Linked DNA regions of Anolis sagrei. The main gene of each other region encodes a partner of the protein of the gene in region 3 in a complex. Links are inferred from orthologs where the notes say so. Each region holds a gene or a part of one and is shown on either strand. Other genes may lie near its edges.

Region 1 (8,043 bases), on a different chromosome or scaffold from region 3:
TGATTTACTTGTGTCAGTGTTCAATGTGTCTGTTCTAAAAATAACTAAATTGGGATTGAATCCTCTATGCTGATAAGCCAGGGCAACAAAATTCACAGTTAAAGTGTTTGAATGCATTCGCCAATAGCTGTTTCAATACCAAAGGTTGCAAACCTTTCTGAATTTCTTTAGGAGCAATTTATTGGAATCTGCAATAGAGGGGTGAGTTGAGCTAAGCAAAAATGCGCAGGGGCACCTCTTCTCTTTTTTCTTTCCTACCTTCCCTCTTCCTTTTCTTTATCACTTTCAGCCTCTTTCTGTTTGGTTAGATGCTGCAGGTCGCTTCTGGTGCGAGAGAATCAGATATTGCCCAGTGAACACCTGGATGTATTACAATCTTGCTGGAAGGCTTCTATCATGTCTCCCAGGAATGCCTCAGCAAGCGAGAGTCCAAAAGTGGCAGGCTAAAGCCCAGAACCTCAATCCATGGCTGATACTGGATGAGAGACTCCCCCCTGGGCACACAGAAGACAGATTGCACTCTGGCACCACAAGGTGCAGAACCAATCTTCAGAAATCGGGCCACAAAGTGGAGTCCACAGCATGCGATTGTGGAGAAGAGCAAACCACAGACCACTTACTACAATACAGCCTGAGCCCTGCCACATGCACAATGGAGGATTTTCTTACGGCGACACCAGAGGCACTCCAAGTGGCCAGTTTCCGTTCAAAGGACATTTAGTATAATGCCAAGTTTATAACTTTGCTTGTGTGTTTTAAATACATGATAATTATACCTTCAGTTTGCTTCTGACACGATAAATAAATAAATAAATAAATAAGCCACTTTCTTTCTTTTTCTGCCCAGTACAAGATTGCTGTAGAATGGCAAGATTGCTCCCATCAAGAAACAGACTTAATCACTAATAGAGAGGGCTTTTGAAATTGGCCAAGAAATGTATGAGATTTTTAGATCACATCAGCCATCCCAGTCCAAGTAGCATTATTAACACAATAGCACTGTAACACCACTGAAGAAAAGGATAGAGGTGTTTCTGTCCAGATATTGCTGAATTGTGGAGTTTGTTCCCAAAAGGTACCAAATTAAAAAATAACAATAATGAAAAATGAGTTGTGGGTGCAATTTTCCAAGCATTGTACAGAAGCGAATCGATACATTTGTAGCATGTATAGATCAAAACTATCAAAATATATCAGTTCCCTTCTGCACAATGCTTGGGAAATCGCATTTTATAGCAAAAGAAGGCATATCCTCAGCACATTTTCTTCAGTTCCTGTAAAATTGGTTCAGATGGATTTGGTACCTTTTGAAAACAAGCTCTACAATTCTAGCTAGCCAAAGGTGAAGTGTGATATGTTTTTTCCCATGTCAGGAGCGACTTGAGAAAATGCAAGTCTCTTCTGGTGTGAGAGAATTGGCCATCTGCAGGGATGTTGCCCACCTGGATATTTTTGATGTTTTACCATCCTTATGGGAGGCTTCTCTCATGTCCCAGCATGGGGAGCTGTAGCTGACAGAAGGAGCTCATCTGCACTCTCCCTAGATTCGAACCTCCAATCTGTTGGTCTTCAGTCCTGTCAGTACAAGGGTTTAACCCATTGCGCCACCGGGGGCTCCAAGCATGATGCATGCAAATGGCAAATACGAAATATGTACTAGTCCAGGGGCCCAGAACAGGGCCCAGCAAGAGACTGAATGCTCTGAAACACTAGGCTGGGGATGATGAGCCCACCCCTGAAGTAATGTAGTAAAACTAGAACTATCAAGAATCCTACGTGTCTGAGCCTTCTCAGAAATCGAAAAGGGAGGAAGAATTGTTCAACAAAGGATACTAAATGTCCCAGTACCAAGAAATGTTAAGGCAGTGATTGCCCTTCAGCAATCCTGGGAATAACAAAGGCTGAAATCTATCTTCTGCAAACATATTTGGAAGTGATCTACCTTGAGTACATAGAATCAAAAAGTTGGAAGAGACCTCGTGGGCCACCCAGTCCAACCCCCTGCCAAGAAGCAGGTAAATTGCATTTAAAGCACCCCCAACATCCTCTGTTTAAAAGCCTCCAAAGAAGGAGCCTCCATCACACTCTGGGGCAGAGAGTTCCACTGCTGAACAACTCTCACAGTCAGGAAGTTATTCCCAATGTTCAGGAGGATGCTTCCATGTACATTTTGTGCTTGTAAGAGCCTCCCTATTTAAGAATGTTTACATGATAATGAGTAGGAAGAATATTTTGCCTCCCTTTGGCCTGCTAATGATGCATCTCCGTCTACGAACCCACGCGTTCACTTTGGTCATCTGGAGAGGCCCTGCTCATGATCCCGCCTGCGTCGCAAGCACGCTTGGTGGGGACTCGAGACAGGGCCTTTTCTGTAGTGGCCCCCTGACTCTGGAACGCCCTCCCAAAAGATCTCAGACAGGCCCCTACATTGGCAGTCTTCAGAAAGAACTTGAAGACCTGGCTATTCCGATGTGCCTTCTCAGATTAGGAATCTCCAATACCAAGTCCTAGAAGCACTTTAGTAGAATTAAGATTGCTACATTCTGCACAATGCATTTACTTATAATCCTACATACCTCTGCCACATCCGCACTTTTAACCTTGTACCCATTACTCCGGCCCGGCCCAGTTTTATAGTGTCTTGATGTATTGTTTATTGTTTGTTGTTCATACTGCTTAACTGTTTTTAATTTGCTTTAGGTATTGTATTGTTGTATTGTGTTGGTCTTGGCCTATGTAAGCCGCATCAAGTCCTTCGGGAGATGCTAGCAAGGTACAAATAAAGTAATAAATAATAATAATAATAATAATAATAATAATAATAATAATAATAATAACTCTTCTGCTTAAAAATTGTTGAGGTAGCTCTAATGATTAATTCCTCCTATTCTGGTGCCAGTGCACAGATAGTATTAAGGCTGTGCTGCAGCATGTATTCAATCCCCATTGTCAACCAGGGGCTTAAGGTATGTGACTGTATAGCATCAAAGCGCACATTGGCTGCAATGTACAACATTTTTTTATAACACAGTATATAGAAATGTTGAGCTTTTTTAAGAATCATGACTGCTGAATGCTGAATTTAAGGGTGTGTGTGTGTGTGTGTGTGTACAAATTGAGCTCCCGGTGGTGCAGCGAGTTAAAGCACTGGGCTGCTGAAGTTGCTGCGTGAGCTCATGCTGTTAGTCCCAGCTTCTGCCAACCTAGCAGTTTGAAAATATGCAAATATGAGTAGATCAATAGGTATTGCTTCTGCAGGAAGGTATCAGCAGTCCATGGGGCCATGCCGACCACATGACCTTGGAGGGGTCTACAGACAATGCTGGCTCTTTGGCTTAGAAATGGAGATGAGCACCACCACCCCAGAGTCCAACAGGACTAGACTTAATGTCAAGAGGAAACTTTTACCTTTACCTATGTACAAATTAGACATGGATAGGATATCAGGCACGATACAGGTTCTTTCCTGAATCCATCCAATGCTTGGAATCTTCTACTCTCCTGCCTGGTTGCATCCAAATGTAAGGAAGGCAATAAAAAGTCGAAATATTTCTCGTGGTACTGAGCACAACGTTGAATGCTATTGCGTTCCTCTCTTCCTCACCTCTGAGCTTTGTTTTGATTGAAGGGAGTCTGCCTGCTTCAGCCAGCAGGTGTCGCTATCCCCTTGTTTCTTCCCATTATATCTATTCATACTTTGTTAATTAATTCGCACAATAAAACCAGTTTTTTATTTAAAAAGGAAAATAAAATAAACTCCTACTCTTTCCCGGGACACTGTTAGTAGAGATAGTATTTATTCAGTGCTGGAAGAAATACCTAGGCAGGTATATCTGGAGGTGGGGGGAGAAGGAGGAGGATGTGGCCATCGTCCTGGGTTCAACCCTGCAGTTCTAAAAGGAGAAACGGGGATTGCGAGGGGAGAAGACTCCTTGCTTGGGTCTCTAGGCTCTTCCACACACCCATATGACCCAGAATATCCGGACAGAAAATCCTACAATATCTGCTTTGAACTGGGGGCCCTTCCACACACCCATATAACCCAAAATATCCGGACAGAAAATCCCACAATATCTTCTTTGAACTGGGGGCCCTTCCACACAGGCCATATGACCCAGAATATCCAGGCAGAAAATCCCACAATATCTGCTTTGAACTGGGGGCCCTTCCACACACCCATATAACCCAGAATATCCGGACAGAAAATCCCACAATATCTGCTTTGAAGGGGGCCCTTCCACACACCCATATGACCCAGAATATCCAGAACGAAAATCCCACAATATCTGCTTTGAACTGGGGGCCCTTCCATACAACCATATAACCCAGAATATCCAGGCAGAAAATCCCACAATATCTGCTTTGAACTGGGGGCCCTTCCATACAACCATATAACCCAGAATATCCAGACAGAAAATCCCACAATATCTGCTTTGAACCGGGGGCCCTTCCACACACCCATATAACCCAGAATATCCGGACAGAAAATCCCACAATATCTGCTTTGAACTGGGGGTCCTTCCATACAACCATATAACCCAGAATATCCAGGCAGAAAATCCCACAATATCTGCTTGAACTGGGGGTCCTTCCATACACCCATATAATCCAGAATGTCTAGGCAGAAAATCTCATAATATCTGCTTGAACTGGGGGCCCTTCCATACACCCATATAACCCAGAATATTCAGGTAGAAAATCTGGGTTATCTGAGTCCACCGTGCCATATATTCCAGTTCAAACCAGATTGTGGGATTTTATTCAGCTGTGTGGAAGGTGTGAGGCAGCAGAGTCTTCAGGTGAGGCAGACAGGGCCAGTTCTCCCCCACCTGGGTGCCTTCCCTCCCTCCTGGAAGCCTGCGAGGCGCTGTCCTCCTCCTGCTGCTCTTTCAGCACTTGGACAGCTCCCTCCAGGGCTGCTCCCTGATTGACAGGGCAGGCTTCCAGCCGGCGCTCGAGGCGCCCAGAGCGCGCCAATGGGCGGGAGGCTCGGGGAGAAAGGGGCGGGGCGGCCGCCAGATCGGGGCTGGCAGAGCAGCTTGGCCAAACGCCGGCGACAGTCGGGAAGGGAAGGCAGGGAAGGTGCCTCCTTTGGCGGGGGACCCGAGGGAAGCGTCTCCTAGCGAAGCCCTCGCTCCGCCTTGCCTCCCCTCCCTCTGCCCACTTTTCCCAGAGAAGAGAACTCCTCTGGGGAGGGTTTGCACCCGGGATTCCGCGGCTCGGGGAGGTTGGCAATGGAGGAGGAAGAGGAGCAGCGGCGGCAGCAGCAGCAGAAGGCAGGCGAGGACTAAAAGAGAAGAGCGGATGGGGGAGAAAGAGCCCTGTTGGCAGAGGAGAAGCGGGCAGAAGAGCATCGCCCTCTCGCCCGCGGCAGGGATGGCCCCGGCTGCGTAACGGAAGCCTTCACACATCTATTTGCGATTGTGCGGGCTCGCTACAGGTGACTCCGCTCCTTGCTCCGGATCTAGGTCTCCCTCACGCCATGGGTCTCCTTTTGTAAGGGGGGGAAGGAAGGAAGGGGCTCTGCTTCGCCCGGCGGAGGACATGGGTCGGCGGCCGCCCTTCTTCTCCTTCCCCTTCCTGGCCGCCCTCCTCTTCCTGCTCTGCGTGGCCCCTCTGGTTGGGGGCGGCGTGGCGAAGGGTCCCAGCCGGGCCACGGCTCCTTGGAGGCGATCCGCAGCCATGGAGGAGGAGGAGGAGAAGGAGAAGGAGGAGGGCGCCCCTGCCTTGGCCCAGCGCCTCTCCCGGGAGCTGCCCCCCGCCGTGGCCACTTTCCTCCGCTACGGCGACTCCCGGGAGCTGAAGCGGGCCAACTGCTCGGGGCGCTTCGAGCTGGGCCCTTGGGCCGGGAAGCCCCGCTCGCTGGCCTCCCACCCGCCGCTCCAGGCCGCCCTGGACGCCCTCCTCCACGCCGCCAACTTCCTCAGCACCCTCCTGCAGAGCAACCAGAGCCGCGAGCAGAACTTGCCCGACGATCTGGACTGGTACCGGGTCCTGGTCCGGACCCTCCTGGAAGGCAACCCGGGCATCTTCCGGGCGGCGCTGACGCTCAGCCCGGAGCACCCGCAGCAGGTCCTGCTCCAGGCCATCCGACAAGACAGCCGCGTCTTGCTCCAGGACCTCTCCGCCGCAGCCACCCACCGGGACACCGAGTGGATCCACGCGTGGAGGCGCAAAGGGAGGCCCCACCCGCCCCGCAAGGGCCCCGTGGCCGAGGGAGCCCGCAAGAAGGGAGACAAGGGACACGTCCAGTGGTCTCCGCCCTTCCTGGACTGCGAGGACGGCGCCTACAAGCCCGCCTGGCTCCTCAGCCTCTCCGCCGCTTTCTATGGCTTGCAGCCCAACCTCCTGCCAGAATTCAGGTAGGAACACCCTGCTTCACGTTGCCCTGCATTTCTAGGAATTCTGTCAGAAGCAGACTTTTTATTTGTGTCAAGGCACCAGTGTTCAGCAAGTGAAAAAGCAAACAACATAGCTGTGTGTCTCTGTGTGTCTCTCTACCAGGCATGAGCCAACTTGGGCCCTCCAGGTGTTTTAGACTTCAGCTCTCTCCATTCCTAACAGACTCAGGTCCCTTCCTCCCCCCCCCCCCCCCGCTGAGCTGTTGAACTTGAATCTGGAGAACAGGATAAGCTCCTTCCATTAGCCCCAGCTTCTGCCAAACTAGCAGTTAGGAAACATGCAAATGTGAGTAGATCAATAGGTATTGCCCCAGCGGAAAGGTAACGCTCCATGCAGTCATGACCCTGCAAGTGTCTACGGACAACACCAGATTTCAACTTAGAAATGAAGATGAGCATCAACCCCTAGAGTCAGACAGGACTAGATTTAATTTCAGGGGATTCAGGTTCCTACTTGTCAAAATTCAGGTAGGAACACCTGGCTTCACGTTTCCCTGGATTCCTAACACTTCTGTCAGAAGCATACTTTTTTGTGGTTCAAGGCACCAGTGTTCAGCAAGTGAAAAAGCAAACAATACAGCTGTGTGTATGTGTGTGTCTCTACCAGACATGGACAAACTTGGGCCTTCCAGGTGTTTTGGACTTCAACTCCCACCATTCCTAAGAGCTTCAGACTCCTTCCTTTTCCCCCACTGAGCTGCTGAACTTGCTGTTTGAAAGGTTGGCAGTTCAAATTCAGGAATTGGGGTGAGCTCCCTCTGTTAGCCCCAACTTCTGTCAACCTAGCAGTACAAAACCATGCAAATGTGAGTAGATCAATACGTACTGCCCCAGCGGGAAGGTAACAGCCCTCCATGCAGTCATGCCAGCTACATGACCTTGGAGGTGTCTACGAACAACACCAGCTCTTTGACTTAGAAATGGAGATGAGCATCAATCCCCAGAGTTGGACATGACTAGACTTAATGTCAGGGGAAAACTTTTACCTTTATATGTGTGTGTCTCTACCGGGCATGGACAAACTTCAAGTCTCCAGGTGTTTTTGACTTCAATTCCCACAATTCCTAACAGCCTCAGGCCCGTTCCTTTCCCCCCTTAAGATAGCACTGTGGGCTCAAACAATAATGTATCTGGATCAAACTTGGCACGAATACTCAATATACCCAAATGTGAACACTGGTGGAGTTTAGGAAAAATAGACTGGTGGAATTTAGGGAAAATAGATCTTGACATTTGGGAGTTGTAGTTGCTGGGATTGATAGTTCACCTACAATCAAAGAGCATTCTGAACCCAATCAACAATAGAATTGGGTCAAACTTCCCACACAGAACCCCCATGACCAACAGACGATACCTCTGACCCCCCCCCCCGCAGCTCCCCCAGGGGTCCTGACCTCCAGGTTGAGAAACACTGACCAACAGTATATGACTTGCCTAAGAGCGATCTATAGATCTGTCTGTCTGTCTGTCCATCCATCTACATTGACACATCTACACTTTTTAGAATGCAGCCAATCTTCCTTAGCTCAATCTTGGCACATGCTTCCTTGATCCTATGCGTCTACTCAAAAATAACTCTCACTGGCATTGTTTGGTCCTAATTCCCAGTTCTCAGGTACAGAGATGCAGCCTGATGCTGTTC
Region 2 (8,023 bases), on a different chromosome or scaffold from region 3:
TTTTTTTCTGCCAATCCCCAAACTTCAAACTGGGCACATTTCTGTCAACGTTATGGACTGGTCTTCCTGGATTATTATTATTTTTCTTTCACCCATGACAGTTTCTTCCATGACTTGAGAAAAAAATATTCACTTCTGTGGAACCATAAACCAGCAGCAGGAAAGGTGTTGCAATACAAAACCCAGGCGTGTGCCTTCTGACTGTCTAAGCCGATTATCACAGCATTAGGATCGTCCTCTTATGTGTCCAGTTGAAACTGGTCAGTTCCTTGCCGTCCCGGCATCTTGAAGTCTTTGCTCTGATAAAAGAAGGTAAGGAGCATTTAAAATACTATTAATATCAAACATATCTAGAAGCCATAGAGAAATATTGAGATGATTGTTATATTGTTTATTATTTAGCATAAATACTTAAAAATATGTTTACTATAGATAGTTACTCAGAGCTGTGTCTTCTTTGATTGAGGTAACAAAGTGACTGCTTTCTTGAATTTTGTGTAGAGTCGTGAAGTATCTGTTTAAAATCCTGAAAGATGATGCTGTCAAGGTGATGCATGCCATAGGCCAGCAAATATGGAAAACACAAGAATGGCCTTCAGACTGGAAAAATATAATAATAATAATAATAATAATAATAATAATAATAATAATAATAACAATACTGTATTTATACCCCACCACCATCTCCCCAGTGGGGACTCAGAGCGGCTTACATGAGGCCAAGCCCGAACAACAAATTACAATAAAATAAAACCAAAACACAACCAAAAATGCAAACAGTAAACAACAACATCATAATAAAATAAACATGTAAATATATAACAATATAAAATTACAATAGACGCAATCACAATAACAATGGATGGGCTACATGTAATGATTAAAAGAGAGACTAATTAAAACTTTTAAATGCTTGTATGTTATTGTTCATTGTTATTGTTTATTGTTTATTTTTGTTTTGAGATTTATTTTACTGTTTTGTATTGATTATTTTGTTACTGCTGTCGTTTTATTGATGTACTGCAGGCTTGGCCTCATGTAAGCTGCACCGAGTCCCTTGGGGAGATGGTAGCAGGGTACAAATAAAGTTTTATTATTATTATTATTTTAAAACTCAGGCGAGATAAAAAAGAGACAGATTATTTGCGGAGGAGGGCTCATTATAGTGGGGGTTGTGGAATCAAGCTTTCCCACAGAGCGGGGGACAACATATATGCCAATGACAGAAGGTTGAGGCTAAGCAGTAGTCTGGGATTGTATACATACTCCAAAGGCGCAGCGGGAGAGCCAGGTTTTAAGGTCCTTTTTAAAGGTTTGTAGGGTAGGGGCTTCCCTAATTTCTCCAGGTAGTGAGTTCCAAAGTCGGGGGGCCACAGAGGAGAAAGCTCTCTCCCTAGTGCTTACCGGGCGAGCTTGTGAAGCTGGCAGGGGCAAAAGAAGGGCCTCCCCAGATAAATCAACTTCTATCCCCATATCAACAAAGGGAAATGCTAAAGACTGCTCAAACTTCCGCATAGTGGCTCTTCTTTCTCATGCCAGGAAGGGAATGCTCAAGATCCTGCAAGGAAGACTCCAGCAAGACATGGAGAGAGAGTTGCCAGATGGACGAGCTGGGAAAGACAGAGGAACCAGAGACCAGATTGACAATATCTGGATGCTGGAGAATGGAGAAAGGCAGGGAGTTTCAGAAAAACATCTATTTCTGTTTCATTGACTATTCTAAAGCCTTTGACTGTGTGGATCATCATAAATTGTGGCATGTTCTTGGTGGTATGGGCATACCAAATCACCTTGTCTTTCTCCTGAGGGATCTGTATAAGGACCAAGTAGCAACAGTAAGAACTGACCACGGAACAACAGATTGGTTCAAGATTGGGAAAGGCGCACGGCAGGGTTGTATCCTCTCACCCAACCTATTCAACTTGTATGCAGAACACATCATGCAAGGATGTGCAGAGCTTGACGAAGGCAAGGCTGGGGTGAAAATTGCTGAAAGAAACATTAACAACCTTAGATATGCAGATGACACCACTTTGATGACCGAAAGCGAGGAGGAGCTGAGGAGCCTTCTAATCAAGATGAAAGAAGAAAATGCAAACGCTGGGTTGAAGCTAAACATAAAAAAACAAGATTATGGCAACAAGAACGATTGACAACTGGGAAATAGAGGGAGAAAACGTGGAGGCAGCAACAGACTTTATATTTCTAGGTGCAAAGATGAGTGCAGACACAGAGTGCAGCCAGGAAATCAGGAGATGCTTACTTTTCGGGAGGAGAGCAAGGACCAATGTCGACAAAATAGTGAAGAGTAGAGACATCACACTGGCAACAAAGATCCGCATAGTCAAAGCAATGGTATTTCCCATAGTCACCTACGGATGTGAGAGCTGGACCATAGGGAAGACTGAGCGAAGGAAGAGAGATGCTTTTGAACTGTGGTGCTGGAGGAAAGTTCTGAGAGTGCCTTGGACCGCAAGAAGATCCAACCAGTCCATACTTCAGGAAATAAAACCCAACTGCTCACTGGAGGGAAGGAAAGTAGAGGCCAAGATGAAGTACTTCGGCCACATCATGAGAAGAAAGGAAAACTTAGAGAAGACAATGACGCTGGGGAAAATAGAAGGAAAAAGAAAGAGGGGGTGACCAAGGGCAAGATGGATGGATGGCATCCTTGAAGTGACTGGATTGACCTTGAAGGAGCTGGGGATGGTGACGGCCGACAGGGAGCTCTGGCCTGGGATGGTCCATGAGGTCACAAAGAGTCAGAAACGACTGAACGAATGAACAACAACAATGAAGTATCATATTCTTATTCCTCGTTGGGAGTCTTATGATATGACTTACGCTCCTTGGATCAAAGATCAGGGATTGCCAATATGCCTCAGGGATGGACAGACTTGTGGGATTTAATTTGTTTTTCCTTTTTGCTTAGAAGCCAGATCTGCCAAATAAAACCTAGTGCAAAGAATGTACATTTAGACTCAAATAATTCTACATCCATTAATATATTTTAAGCACCCAAAGTGAAGTATACCTGTATTTACATGCAAGGAAAAAACCACTGAGATCTCACAACAGATCTTCTGAGGATGCCTGCCACAGATGCAGGCGAAATGTCAGGGGAGAATGCTTCTAGAACATAGCCATACTGCCCGAAAAACCTACAACCCCCCCAAACCCACTGCCAATTACCCAATTTGTAAAAAAGGCAATGTTTTAAAAATGCTACAGAACAATCTGTGTTGACATTTTACAAGGCCTTTATCCTTCTCTGCCAAAGAGTGCTATGCCTCACCAAACTGTAATTCCCAGGATTACATTGCATTGAAACATTGCCTTTAAAGTACGAGTGTTATCCAGAAAGTAAGGTTACAAGGCACGTTAACTCCATGGGGAATTTTCTTGGGGGAAATTGGTATAGCAGGAAGTCAGTGGAAGAGAACGAGCAGTGCCAGTCGTCAGTAGCTCATCGACTAACTTTGTGGTAAAGGTTAGAGATGAGCTTCCTCATTCCATTTCCCTCCAAGTGCATTTAAACATGGCCTTCAAAGTTCGAATGTTATTCGGAAAGTAAGGTTACAAGGCACGTTAATCCTCATGGGGAATTTTCTTGGGGGAAATTGGTATCACTGCTGTGTAGCAGGAAGACAGCGGAAGAGAACGAGCAGTGCCAGTCGTCAGTAGCTCATCGACTAACTTTGTGGTAAAGGTTAGAGATGAGCATCCTCGTTCCGAAGTTTGCACTGTAATGTGCGAAGTTTGCGCTGTAATGTGATACCTAAAAGCTAAGGGCATGAACGCAGCTATGATGCATCGCAAAATCATTTCAGTTTATGGAGAGGACGTAATGTCAAGACAGCATGGGACAAAATGGGTATGGAATATATTGTAAGACCATGACAAAAATTCACAGAGCTGTCCAAAACAAACACCGTGGGATGCTGACGGTGGGAGTTATGACAATGCCTGTCCGCACACCGCTCATACAACACAAAAGTTGCTGACTTTGTTTGGTTGGGATGTTTTAACCCACCCTGATCTCACACCCAGTGAGTCTGTTCACTAAATTGAAGGAACACCGTGGTGGAAAACACTTTTCCGATGCCGAGGAGGTGAAAATCGAAGTGACAAACTGGCTGAAAAAGATGGAGGGAAACTTCTGTGACACAGGCATCAAAAACTCATCCCACGGAAGACAAAATATATTGAACTGAATGGTGATTATGTAGGAAAATAATGTAATACCTAGACTACAATCTATGTAAGTGTTATTAAAATACATTCATTCTTTATATTTTAAAAAAATCCTTTCTGGATTTATTTAAACTTTCTGGATAATCCTCATAGTTCACATTGCGTTAGTTCTAAGTCTGTGGGAGACCACGGTTTGAATCCCTTCTTGGCCACTGAAACCCACTCTCTGCTCTTGGGCCTTTTGGCTTCTTTTATCCTCAGAGATGGCAAACTTCCTCTGAACAAAGCTTGCCAGAAAACTCTGAAATGGTTACCTTAGGGAAGCCGTGAGCTGGAACTACGTGAAGGCAACAAATAACAAAGTTGTAATAATCAATTGTGCCATAATTGGCGGTTGTCTTTAGGCATCTTGAACACAAGTGGCAGGAATTCAGAATTTTCCTGCATTCAAAGAGCGGCGTTTACTCTGCCTGCAGGAGTTGCAGATTCTTTAAGACACTTGAAAGGCAGCGCTAGGTCAAGACATTTTTCACCTGGGGTGTAATTTTAACCTCAAGCTGGTTATGTTATTTTTGCAGAACTGCAAGTAGTCCTTCACATCCTTGACAGTTAAAACACAACGAAGCAAATAACAATTTGCTGGACTTTTAAATTGTTAGTGCCAGTGCTGTTTAAAATGCAAAGGCTTTGTGCCTCACGTCTAGCATCCACCTGCTTTCATTCTCTCTTTTCTCTCTCTCCCTCTCTCTCTTCCAGCTCCAGCACTTCGCAAAGATGTGTGACCAGACGTTTTTGGCCAATGTGTTTGGTCCATGCGACAAATGTGCCCAAAACCGGGCCCTCCGAGAGATTTACCGCAAAAATGAGAAACTCAGCTACTGCTCACTATGTGTGGGAATGGTACGGGACGGCATCTATTTTCATTGCGGGAAGGGTGGAATATATCTTGCAATCTCCTTTGAATGCTTTAAATATTTAAACCAGTGGTTCTCAACCTTCCTAATGCCACGACCCCTTAATACAGTCCCTCATGTTGTGGTGACCCCCAACCATAATATTGTTTTCGTTGCTACTTCATAACAGTCATTTTACTACTGTTATGAATTGTAATGTAAATATCTGATATGCAGGATGCATTTTCATTCACTGGACCAAACTGGGCACAAATACCCAATACACCCAAATGTGAATGCTAGTGGGGTTGAGAGAGGATTGATTTAGTAATTTGGGAGTTGAAGTTGCTGGGATTTATAGTTCACTTATAATCAAAGAGCATTCTGAACTCCACCAGCGATGGATTTGAACCAAACTTGGCTCCCATAACCAATGGAAAACACTGGAAGGGTTTGATGGGCATTGAGTTTGGGAGTTGTAGTTCACCTATATCCAGAGAGCACTGTGGACTCACGCAATGGTAGATCTGGACCAAACTTGGCACAAATACTCAATATAATAATAATAATAATAATAATAATAATTGGAAGCAAACCCCAGTGGATACCAGGGGCCACTGTAATGTAAAAGAAATCCCAAATTTGCACGGAAAAATGCTGCACTCGCAGAGCTCAGGCGCTGTTGTATTTAATAAATAATAATTTATTATCTATAGTAATATCTATAGATTCGGGTATCTACGGGGGGGGGGGGGTTGGAAGCAAACCCTACAGGGGGGGGGGGGTTGGAAGCAAACCCCAGTGGATACCAGGGGCCATTGTAATGTGAAAAAAACCCAAGTTTGCATGGAAAAATGCTGCACTTGCAGAGCTCTGGCGATGTATTTAATAAATAATAATAACAACAAGACTTGAATATCTATAGATTTTGGTATCTACGGGGGACTGGTAGCAAACCCCAGTGCATACCAGCGGCCACTGTAATGTAAAAGAAACCCCAAAAATGCTGCACTTGCAGAGCTCAGGCAGTGTTGTATTTAATAAATAATAATAATAATAATAATGGGACTTGAACATCTATAGATTTTGGTATCTACGGGGGGGCTGGAAGCAACCCCCAGTGGATACCAGGGGCCACTGTAATGTAAAAGAAACCCCCAAAATGCTGCACTTGCAGAGCTCAGCCGGTTTTGTATTTAATAAATAATAATAACAATAGGACTTGAATATCTATAGATTTTGGTATCTGGGGGGGGGGGGGGCTTGAAGCAAACCCCAGTGGATACCAGGGGACACTTTAATGTGAAAGAAACCCCAAATTTTTATGGAAAAATGCTGCACTCGCAGAGCTCAGGTGGTGTTGTATTTAATACATAATAGTAATAATAATAATAATAAGAAGAAGAATAGGACTTGAATATCTATAGATTTTGGTATCTACGGGGGACTGGTAGCAAACCCCAGTGGATACCAGGGGCCACTGTAATGTAAAAGAAACCCCAAAAATGCTGCACTCGCAGAGCTCAGATGCTGTTGTATTTAATGTATTATTATTATTAATAATAATAATTAATAATAATAATAATAATAATAATAATTCAAGTCCTATTATTAATAATAATAGGACTTGAATTTCTATAGATTTTGGTATCTACGGTGGACTGGTAGCAAACCCCAGTGGATACCAGGGGCCATTGTAATGTAAAAGAAGCCCCAAAAATGCTGCACTCGCAGAGCTCAGGAGGTGTTGTATTTAATAAATAATAATAGGACATGAATATCTATAGACTTGGGTATCTATGGGGTGCTGGAAGCAAACCCCAGTGGATACCAGGGGCCACTGTAATGTGAAAGAAACCCCAAATTTGCATGGAAAAATGCTGCACTTGCAGAGCTCAGGCGGTGTTGTTTTTTAATAATAATAATAATAATAATAGGACTTGAGTATCTATAGATTTTGGTATCTACGAGGGACTGGTAGCAAACCCCAGTGCATACCAGGGGCCACTGTAATGTAAAAGAAACCCCAAGTTTACATGGAAAAATGCTGCACTTGGAGAGCTCAGGCGGTGTTGTGTTTAATAAATAATAATAAGAATAATAGTACTTGAATATCTATAGATTCGGGTATCTACGGGGGGTTGGAAGCAAACCCCAGTGGATACCAGGGGCCACTGTAACGTAAAAGAAACCCCAAGTTTGCATGGAAAAATGCTGCACTTGCAGAGCTCAGGCGGTGTTGTATTTAATTTATTATTATTGTTGTTGTTATTATTATTAATTAACAATAATAATTAAATAATAATAATAATAATTCAAGTCCTATTATTAATAATAATAGGACTTGAATTTCTATAGATTTTGGTATCTATGGGGGTCTGGAAGCAAACCCCAGTGGATACCAGGGGCACTGTAATGTAAAAGAAACCCCCAAAAATGCTGCACTCGCAGAGCTCAGGTGGAGTTGTATTTATTAAATAATAATAATAATAATAATAATAATAATAATAGGACTTTGATATCTATAGATTTTGGTATCTGGTGGGGGGGGGGGGGCTGGAAGCAAACCCCAGTGGATACTAGGGACCACTGTAATGTAAAAGAAACCCCAAAAATGCTGCACTTGCAGAGCTCAGCCGGTTTTGTATTTAATAAATAATAATAACAATAGGACTTGAATATCTATAGATTTTGGTATCTGGGGGGGGGGGGGGGGCTTGAAGCAAACCCCAGTGGATACCAGGGGACACTTTAATGTGAAAGAAACCCCAAATTTTTATGGAAAAATGCTGCACTCGCAGAGCTCAGGTGGTGTTGTATTTAATACATAATAGTAATAATAATAATAACAATAAGAATAGGACTTGAATTTCTATAGATGTTTGTATCTATGGGGGTCTGGAAGCAAACCCCAGTGGATACCAGGGGCACTGTAA
Region 3 (7,073 bases):
TTATTATTATTATTATTATTAGGTAAAGATAAAGGTTCCCCCCTGATATTATGTCCAGTTGTGTCTGACTCTGAGGGTTGGTGGTCATCTCCATTTGTAAGCCAAAGAGCCAGTGTTGTCCATAGACACCTCCAAAGTCATTTGGCTGGCATGACTGCATGGAATGCCGTTATTATTATTAGTAGTACTATTGTTAAATAATAAAATTAGTAAATAATAAAAACAGTATGTGTATGTATGTGTGTGTATATGTGTCTGTGTGTGTGTGGTTAAAGGTTTTTTTCCTGACATTAAGTCTAGTTGTATCCAGGAGTTGGTGCTCATCTCCATGTCTAAACCGAAGAGCTGGCATTGTCCACAAACACCTCCAAGGTCATGTGGACAGTATGACTGTGTGGAACGCCGTTATTACTGTTTATTAGTACCATTTATTAGTACGATTAATAAATAATAGAATGAGTAAATAATAAAATGGTATGTGCGTGTGTGTGTATTAAAAGGTAAAGGTTTTCCCCTGACATTAAGCCTACTTGTGTCCGACTCTGGGGAGTGGGGCTCATCTCCATTTCTAAGCCAAAGAGCCGGCATTGTCCATAGACACCTCCAAGGTCATGTGGCCGGCATGACTTCATGGAGCGCTGTTATTATTATCAGTACTATTATTAAATAATAAAATGAGTAAAAAATAAAAATAGTATGTCTGTGTGTATGGTAAAGATTTTCCCCTAACACTAAGTCTAGTTGTGTCCGACTCTGGGGGTTGGTGCTCATCTCCATTTCTAAGCCAAAGAACCAGCGTTGTCCATAGACACCTCCAAGGTCATGTTGCCGGCATGACTTCATGGAGGGCTGTTATTATTATTAGTACTATTATTAAATAATAAAATGAGTAAAAAAAATAAAAATAGTATCTCTCTCTCTCTCTGTGTGTGTATGTATATATATATATATATATATATATATATATTTGTTAGGGGCATCCAACGAGGAAACAAAACTCAAAAAACCCCCAACGAAACTTAACCAAAATTCCCATACCCATAACACAACCCACAAGGTACAAACATATCTACTCAAAATGAAAAACAACACAACAACACACTCACAAAACGGCAAAACAACAAAACTCAAAAAAACCCAACGAAACTTAACCAAAATTGCCATGCCCATAACACAACCCACAAGGTACAAACATATCTACTCAAAATGAAAAACAACACAACAACACACTCACAAAACGGCAAAACAACAAAACTCAAAAAAACCCAACGAAACTTAACCAAAATTGCCATGCCCATAAGACAACCCACAAGGTACAAACATATCTACTCAAAATGAAAAACAACACAACAACACACTCACAAAACGGCAAAACAACAAAACTCAAAAAAAACCAACGAAACTTAACCAAAATTGCCATGCCCATAACACAACCCACAAGGTACAAACATATCTACTCAAAATGAAAAACAACACAACAACACACTCACAAAACGGCAAAACAACAAAACTCAAAAAAACCCAACGAAACTTAACCAAAATTGCCATGCCCATAACACAACCCACAAGGTACAAACATATCTACTCAAAATGAAAAACAACACAACAACACACTCACAAAACGGCAAAACAACAAAACTCAAAAAAACCCAACGAAACTTAACCAAAATCCCCGTGCCCATAACACAACCTACAAGGTACAAACATATCTACTCAAAATGAAAAACAACACAACAACACACTCACAAAACGGCAAAACAACAAAACTCAAAAAAACCCAACGAAACTTAACCAAAATTGCCATGCCCATAACACAACCCACAAGGTACAAACATATCTACTCAAAATGAAAAACAACACAACAACACACTCACAAAATGGCAAAACAACTGAGCATGCGCATTGGCGCCCAGCCGCAAGTTCCCTGGCGCGCGCACATGGCCTTCCGGCCAACGTTCCCTCTGCGGAAACCATGCCCACTCCAAGCCCCGCCGCGCCGCTTCCCGCACACACACACACCCTGCCGCACGCACACACGCAACCCCACGCTCCATCACTCCCCCCGCCGCCGCATACACACACGCAACCCCACTCCCCCCGCCACCACACACACACACACAACCCCACGCTCCATCACTCCCCCCACCGCTGCACACACACGCAACCCCACTCCCCCCGCCGCCGCACACACACACGCAACCCCACTCCCCCCGCCGCCGCACACACACACGCAACCCCACGCTCCATCACTCCCCCGCCCCAATCTTACCTCCTTTTACTTCACGCCACCTCCAAACCCCACCCCGCCCCTTCCCGCCCTGTCAAAATCTAGGAAAGACAGGAAGGAAGGAAAGAAGGAAGAAAGAGAAAGGGAAGTAAAGAAAAAGGGGGAAGGAAGGAAAGTTACAGGAAGAAGAAAAGGAAAGAAAAGGAAAGATGGAAGGAAAGAAAAGAGAGACAGCAGAAGAGAAAGAAAAAGGGGAAGGAAGGAAAGAGATAGAGAAAGAAGAGGAGAAGGAAAGATGGGAAGGAAGGAAGGAAGGAAGGAAGGAGGGAGGGAAAGAAGGAGAGAAAGAGGGAAGATTGGCCACAGCAACACGTGGCGGGTAAAGGTTGTTATTTCTATGATTATTATGATGCTATTATTATTCCTCTGTGACCCTTTTAGGGGGAATGGGAGAGGTGTCAGGTCCCAGAGGCAATGCACTGCATTATTGTTATTGTTATGATGGTGGTAAAATAAAAGGAAATAAAAAGTGAAAGAAGGAAGCAAACAGGGAGGGAAGAAAGGCAAAGGAAGAAAGGGGGAGGGAATGAAGGAAAGAGAGAAGGATGAAACCAAGTAGTGAAAGAAGGAAAGAAAGAAAGAGGTAGAGAAGGAAGAAAGGAGAGAAAGGGGGAGGAAAAGGGGGAAGGAATAGGTAGGTACCTCTCTTTCATAATAGTCCAGATATCTACCTCAACTTTGATAAGTTTTACTATAGGCCACAGCAACGCGTGGCAGGGCACAGCTAGTATATATATATATATGGTAAAGGTTTTCCCCTGGCATTAAATCTAGTTGTGTCCAACTATGGGGGTTGATGCTCATCTCCATTTCTAGGCTGAAGAGACACCTCCAAGGTCATGTGGCCAGCTGAAGTCCAAAACTTCGGGAGGATTAGGTTTGGGAAACACAGATTCTCCACTACAAAATTAATGCAGTTTGATATCACTTCAACTGACATGGCTCAATGCTCAGGTCTAGAATGATGGGAGTTTTAGTTTGGTGAGGCACCAGTCCTGTTAAGCAGCGGCGGCGAATCAAGGCACAGAACTCCCATAATTCCGTAACACTGAGTAAAAGCAGTTAAAGTGGTGTCGAACTGCATTAACTCTGCAGTGTGGATGCACTCAAGACGGGGCTGATCTGGGTTTCAGAAGGAAGGAAAAGGAGACGGCACGCCATGTGCGGACACAGCCTCATTTCCTTTCTCATCTAACACCAATTGCTTCTTCTCCTGAAACTGCTATCTGAACTGCTGGCCCTTTAAGTGGGACGCGAGATCTTTTACACGGGATTGGACTGCAACACCCATCTTCCCTTCCCATCTTGAATGATAGGAACTGCATGTGGAAGGGCACATTCTGACTGGAAAGCCGGAGCCCATTGCGAACTGCAAAGTACTGACTCCAGCAAAAGGAGGGGGGCTTCCTAGGAAGAATACCTGCGGTTCCGCAATGAGGCTTCCGAACCCGAAAGAGACGTCCCCGAGGTAAAGAACCAATCAGCGCTGGCCACACACTGACGCAGTGGGTTCCGCGCGTGCGCTTTAGCGCCAACGAAGCCCACAACCATTTGCCCTCTTCTTCGCGCTGCCAGGTTCCAGCACAGTGAGGCTGCCTTGAAGCAATGGAACTGGCAAAATGGGGGAACAGGCTTCAGATTGACGGGCAGAGCATGCGCAGGACAACGAAACAGGATTTTATACAGGTTGGAACGAGCGCCCTCTATCTTTCATGTACAAGACTGTTTCTCAGTTCTTGTGGGTTTTTTCGGGCTATATGGCCATGTTCTAGAGGCATTTCTCCTGACGTTTCGCCTGCATCTATGGCAGGCATCCTCAGAGGTCTGCTGGAGCTGGGAAAAAAGGGGTTTATACATCTGTGGACTGACCAGGGTGAGACAAAAGGCTTTTGTAAGTTGGGCTAGGTGTGAATCTTTTCAACTGACCACCTTGATTAGCATACAATGGGCTGACTGTGCCTGGAGCAAACTCTTAAAGACTGTTTCTAATTCATAGCATGGTTTGAGCGCTGATATGCAAAGTAAAATTAATGCAGTTTGATAACAGCCATGGCTCAACATTATGGGATTCTGGGATTGGTAGTTTGGCGAGAGACCAGCACTCTTTGGCAGAGGAGGCACAAGGCCTTGTAAAACTACAATTCCTAGAGCTCCATAGCCTTGGACCAGGGCATTTTTCTTCTTCTATATAAATAAAAATGTAATGTTAGTTTGTGGGATTAACATAACTCAAAAACCACTGGGCGAATTGACACAAAATTTGGACACAAGACACCTATCAAGCCAACGAGTGACCATCACTCATAAAAACACTGAAAAACACAGCAGAAGAGACTTTAAAGCAAAAAAACAAAAAACATTACAACATATGCGCAAAACCACATATATACACATATACACAAATATATACACACACAAAACACATATACACAGACTGGGCCATAGCAACGCGTGGCAGGAGACAGCTAGTAAATTATAAATTCTTTACTGCTGTTTTTATTGGTGATTTATTCTATTTTCAAAAAGTCTTTTTCTTTTTCAGGGTTAGAAAAAGAAATGAACAGGATACTTCAGAGTATTTCCTGCCTCAGAAAACCTTTTGAAATTCACAGGGTCACTCTTAATTGACAGGTGACTTGAAGGCACACACACAAACACAGAATTCCCCAATGAATATTCTTGTTGTATCCTTTCAAGTAAACTCTGATTTCTGATAGCCCTGCCCTAGGGCTTCCTTGGTGATACTTGTTCAGAAGCATGCTATTACCTTTGTCTGAGGCTGAGAGAATGTGACAGGATTTGAACTCTGCTTCCATTGAGTCCTAATTCAACAGCCACAGACAACTGCATCACATTGACTTTGCTTTTCAACTGAACATGCTAGAACAGAGCTTTCCAAACATTTCATGTCGATGGCACACTTTTTACACCTGCACCATTTTGTGACAGAGTAATTCAGTTTATTTTTTTTTATAATAATCTTTATTGATATTTTCTAAAATACAATCCTTAAAATATAGTAGCTTAGATAGTGTGGTATATCAGATATAGATGTGTAGAGTTATAGCGGGGGTTAGAGGAGGAGAGAAGGAAGAAAAAGAGAATGAGGACGGTTGGAAGGGAGGTAGACCTTCCAGGGTAGGTCGGGGACGGGGAAAAACTATCCTGGGTATCTAAATGCCACGGAGTAGGGTGGGAAGGAAAAGTGTGGGTAAGATTTAGAAAATGTGAGAGAAAAAAAGAGTTTAAAAGAAAAGAATCAAGAATAAGTTCTTTCATCCATCAAACATGACTTCCAGGATTCATCTGTGGTGGGCCTCTTCCTCTTCTTTCTTTCATTTTTTTCTCTTCCTCTCTTTTCCTTCTCAATTCTAGTTGACTGGAGATCTTCTTGTATAGTTGCTCTTCTGAATCCAGGCCTTTTTGCCTGACCTTCTATATTGGTAATTGATTATATGTGTAACTTTAAGTATTCTTTAAAACTTGTCCAATCTGTTCTTATCTCCTCGATTCCTTTACTTCTTTGCATTATGTAACTTAAACAATCCATATTTCTGACTTCTATCATTTTCTTTTTCCAATCCTCAATCTTCGGAACTTCCTTTTTCCTCCATACTCTTGCCAGACAAATCCTGGCAGCTGTTGTTGCCAGGAATAACAGTTTATCTGTATTTTTGTCCAATTTGATTTTTGTGATGCCTAATAGGAATATTTCAGCTTTTAGGGGAATCTTGACTTTCAGTATTTTCTGTAATTGTGTTTGAATTTCTTTCCAATAATCTTTTATTTTCTTACACTTCCACCACATGTGGTGCAGCGTTCCTTCCACTGTTCCGCATTTCCAGCATCTTGAATTACAATTTTTGTAATATTTATTTAATTTGGCGGGTGTCAGATACCATCTAAAAAAGATTTTCCACCAATTTTCTTTCAAATCATATGCTTTTAAGTATTTTAGTTTTTTTTTCCATATCGTTTCCCATTCTTCTAATCCAATCGTTCTACCTACATTTTTGGCCCATTTCACCATGCAATCCTTCACCCTTTCTTCTTCTGTACTCCATTGGAGTAATTGTTTGTATATTTTAGAGATTTTTTTTCCTTCTGTTTCCCAGATTTTGTCCCAGATATTCCCTCTTTTCTCAAATCCTATCTTTTTGTCTTTACCAAAAAACTCCTGTATTTGCCTGTACTGTAACCAGGTCATATTTGGGTAACTTGCTTTTATGTCTTCTAGGGGTCTCAGATTGATCACTTTGTTTTCTTCTTTTAGTAATTCTTTGTAGTTTGGCCATTTAATCCATCCTAGTTCCCTTCTTTGGCTTGATTCTAAAGGGGAGATCCATGTTGGAATTTTGTTATACATTCTCTTCTTGTATTTGTCCCAGGTTTTTATGATCGCTGCTCTTACAAAATGGTTCCTAAATTTTTTTTCTATTTTTGTTTTCTCATATCCGATGTAAGCATGCCACCCTCTGCGGAGGTCGCATCCTTCCAGATTTAGTATTTTTTCTTTCTTCAGTCTTACCCATTCTGTGGCCCAGGCTAGGGTACATGCCTCGGCGTATAACCCTAGGTCTGGTAGTGTCAATCCTCCTCTTCCTTTCTCATCTGTCAGATTTTTATAACTTATCCTTGGTTTTTTATTAAGCCAGATAAATTTTCTAATATCTTTATTCCAGTTTAGTACAGTTTTCTTGTTCCTTAGTATAGGTATGTTTTGGAACAGAAATAGCATCCTTGGCAGGACATTCATTTTAATGCATGATGTTCTTCCTAATAATGA

Evidence for each region.
Region 1: the proteins of RGS7 (region 3) and GPR158 are in contact, whole or in part, in a cryo-EM structure (PDB 7SHF), measured with the Homo sapiens proteins. The link is inferred for Anolis sagrei from reciprocal best matches to the Homo sapiens genes RGS7 and GPR158. Residues at the interface, in NP_001351815.1 of Homo sapiens: Gln35, Ile43, Ser55, Arg109, Phe110, Thr112, Pro113, Tyr114, Phe115, Lys134, Thr136, Lys140, Ala141, Arg142, Leu143, Leu145, Ala146, Asp147, Ala150, Leu153, Gln157, Trp164, Phe168, Met169, Gln170, Glu172, Ala173, Gln174, Lys176, Val177; in NP_065803.2 of Homo sapiens: Leu507, Lys508, Phe510, Leu511, Arg513, Thr514, Tyr595, Tyr598, Ala599, Thr602, Val603, Pro604, Ile714, Arg715, Leu718, Lys719, Tyr722, Leu725, Glu726, Tyr728, Lys729, Arg730, Met733, Ile734, Thr735, Asn736, Asn737.
Region 2: the proteins of RGS7 (region 3) and GNB5 are in contact, whole or in part, in a cryo-EM structure (PDB 7EWP), measured with the Homo sapiens proteins. The link is inferred for Anolis sagrei from reciprocal best matches to the Homo sapiens genes RGS7 and GNB5. Residues at the interface, in NP_001351815.1 of Homo sapiens: Pro19, Leu22, Val23, Lys26, Val30, Ile72, Val76, Glu77, His80, Leu81, Leu84, His88, Val207, Asp213, Ile214, Lys215, Lys216, Leu258, Gln261, Ile262, Trp265, Gln266, Gln268, Leu269, Arg271, His272, Arg273, Leu274, Lys275, Met276; in NP_057278.2 of Homo sapiens: Leu57, Glu60, Ala61, Glu62, Leu64, Lys65, Leu68, Glu71, Lys74, Leu75, His76, Asp77, Val78, Glu79, Leu80, Val83, Leu90, Phe93, Arg98, Arg99, Leu109, Lys117, Arg118, Ser134, Phe135, Trp149, Met151, Leu167, Tyr197, Ser206.

The regions. Positions count from the first base shown.
Region 1 is NC_090026.1:109,420,909-109,428,951, forward strand, and holds the start of GPR158 (metabotropic glycine receptor), read left to right. Parts: upstream 1-5,026; 5' UTR 5,027-5,544; coding exon 5,545-6,362; intron 6,363-8,043. UniProt on the Homo sapiens protein: Metabotropic receptor for glycine that controls synapse formation and function in the brain. Acts as an atypical G-protein coupled receptor that recruits and regulates the RGS7-GNB5 complex instead of activating G proteins.
Region 2 is NC_090029.1:20,397,129-20,405,151, forward strand, and holds the start of GNB5 (guanine nucleotide-binding protein subunit beta-5), read left to right. Parts: upstream 1-4,925; 5' UTR 4,926-4,968; coding exon 4,969-5,094; intron 5,095-8,023. UniProt on the Homo sapiens protein: Enhances GTPase-activating protein (GAP) activity of regulator of G protein signaling (RGS) proteins, such as RGS7 and RGS9, hence involved in the termination of the signaling initiated by the G protein coupled receptors (GPCRs) by accelerating the GTP hydrolysis on the G-alpha subunits, thereby promoting their inactivation.
Region 3 is NC_090021.1:56,333,166-56,340,238, forward strand, and holds the start of RGS7 (regulator of G-protein signaling 7), read left to right. Parts: upstream 1-4,044; 5' UTR 4,045-4,160; intron 4,161-7,073. UniProt on the Homo sapiens protein: GTPase activator component of the RGS7-GNB5 complex that regulates G protein-coupled receptor signaling cascades.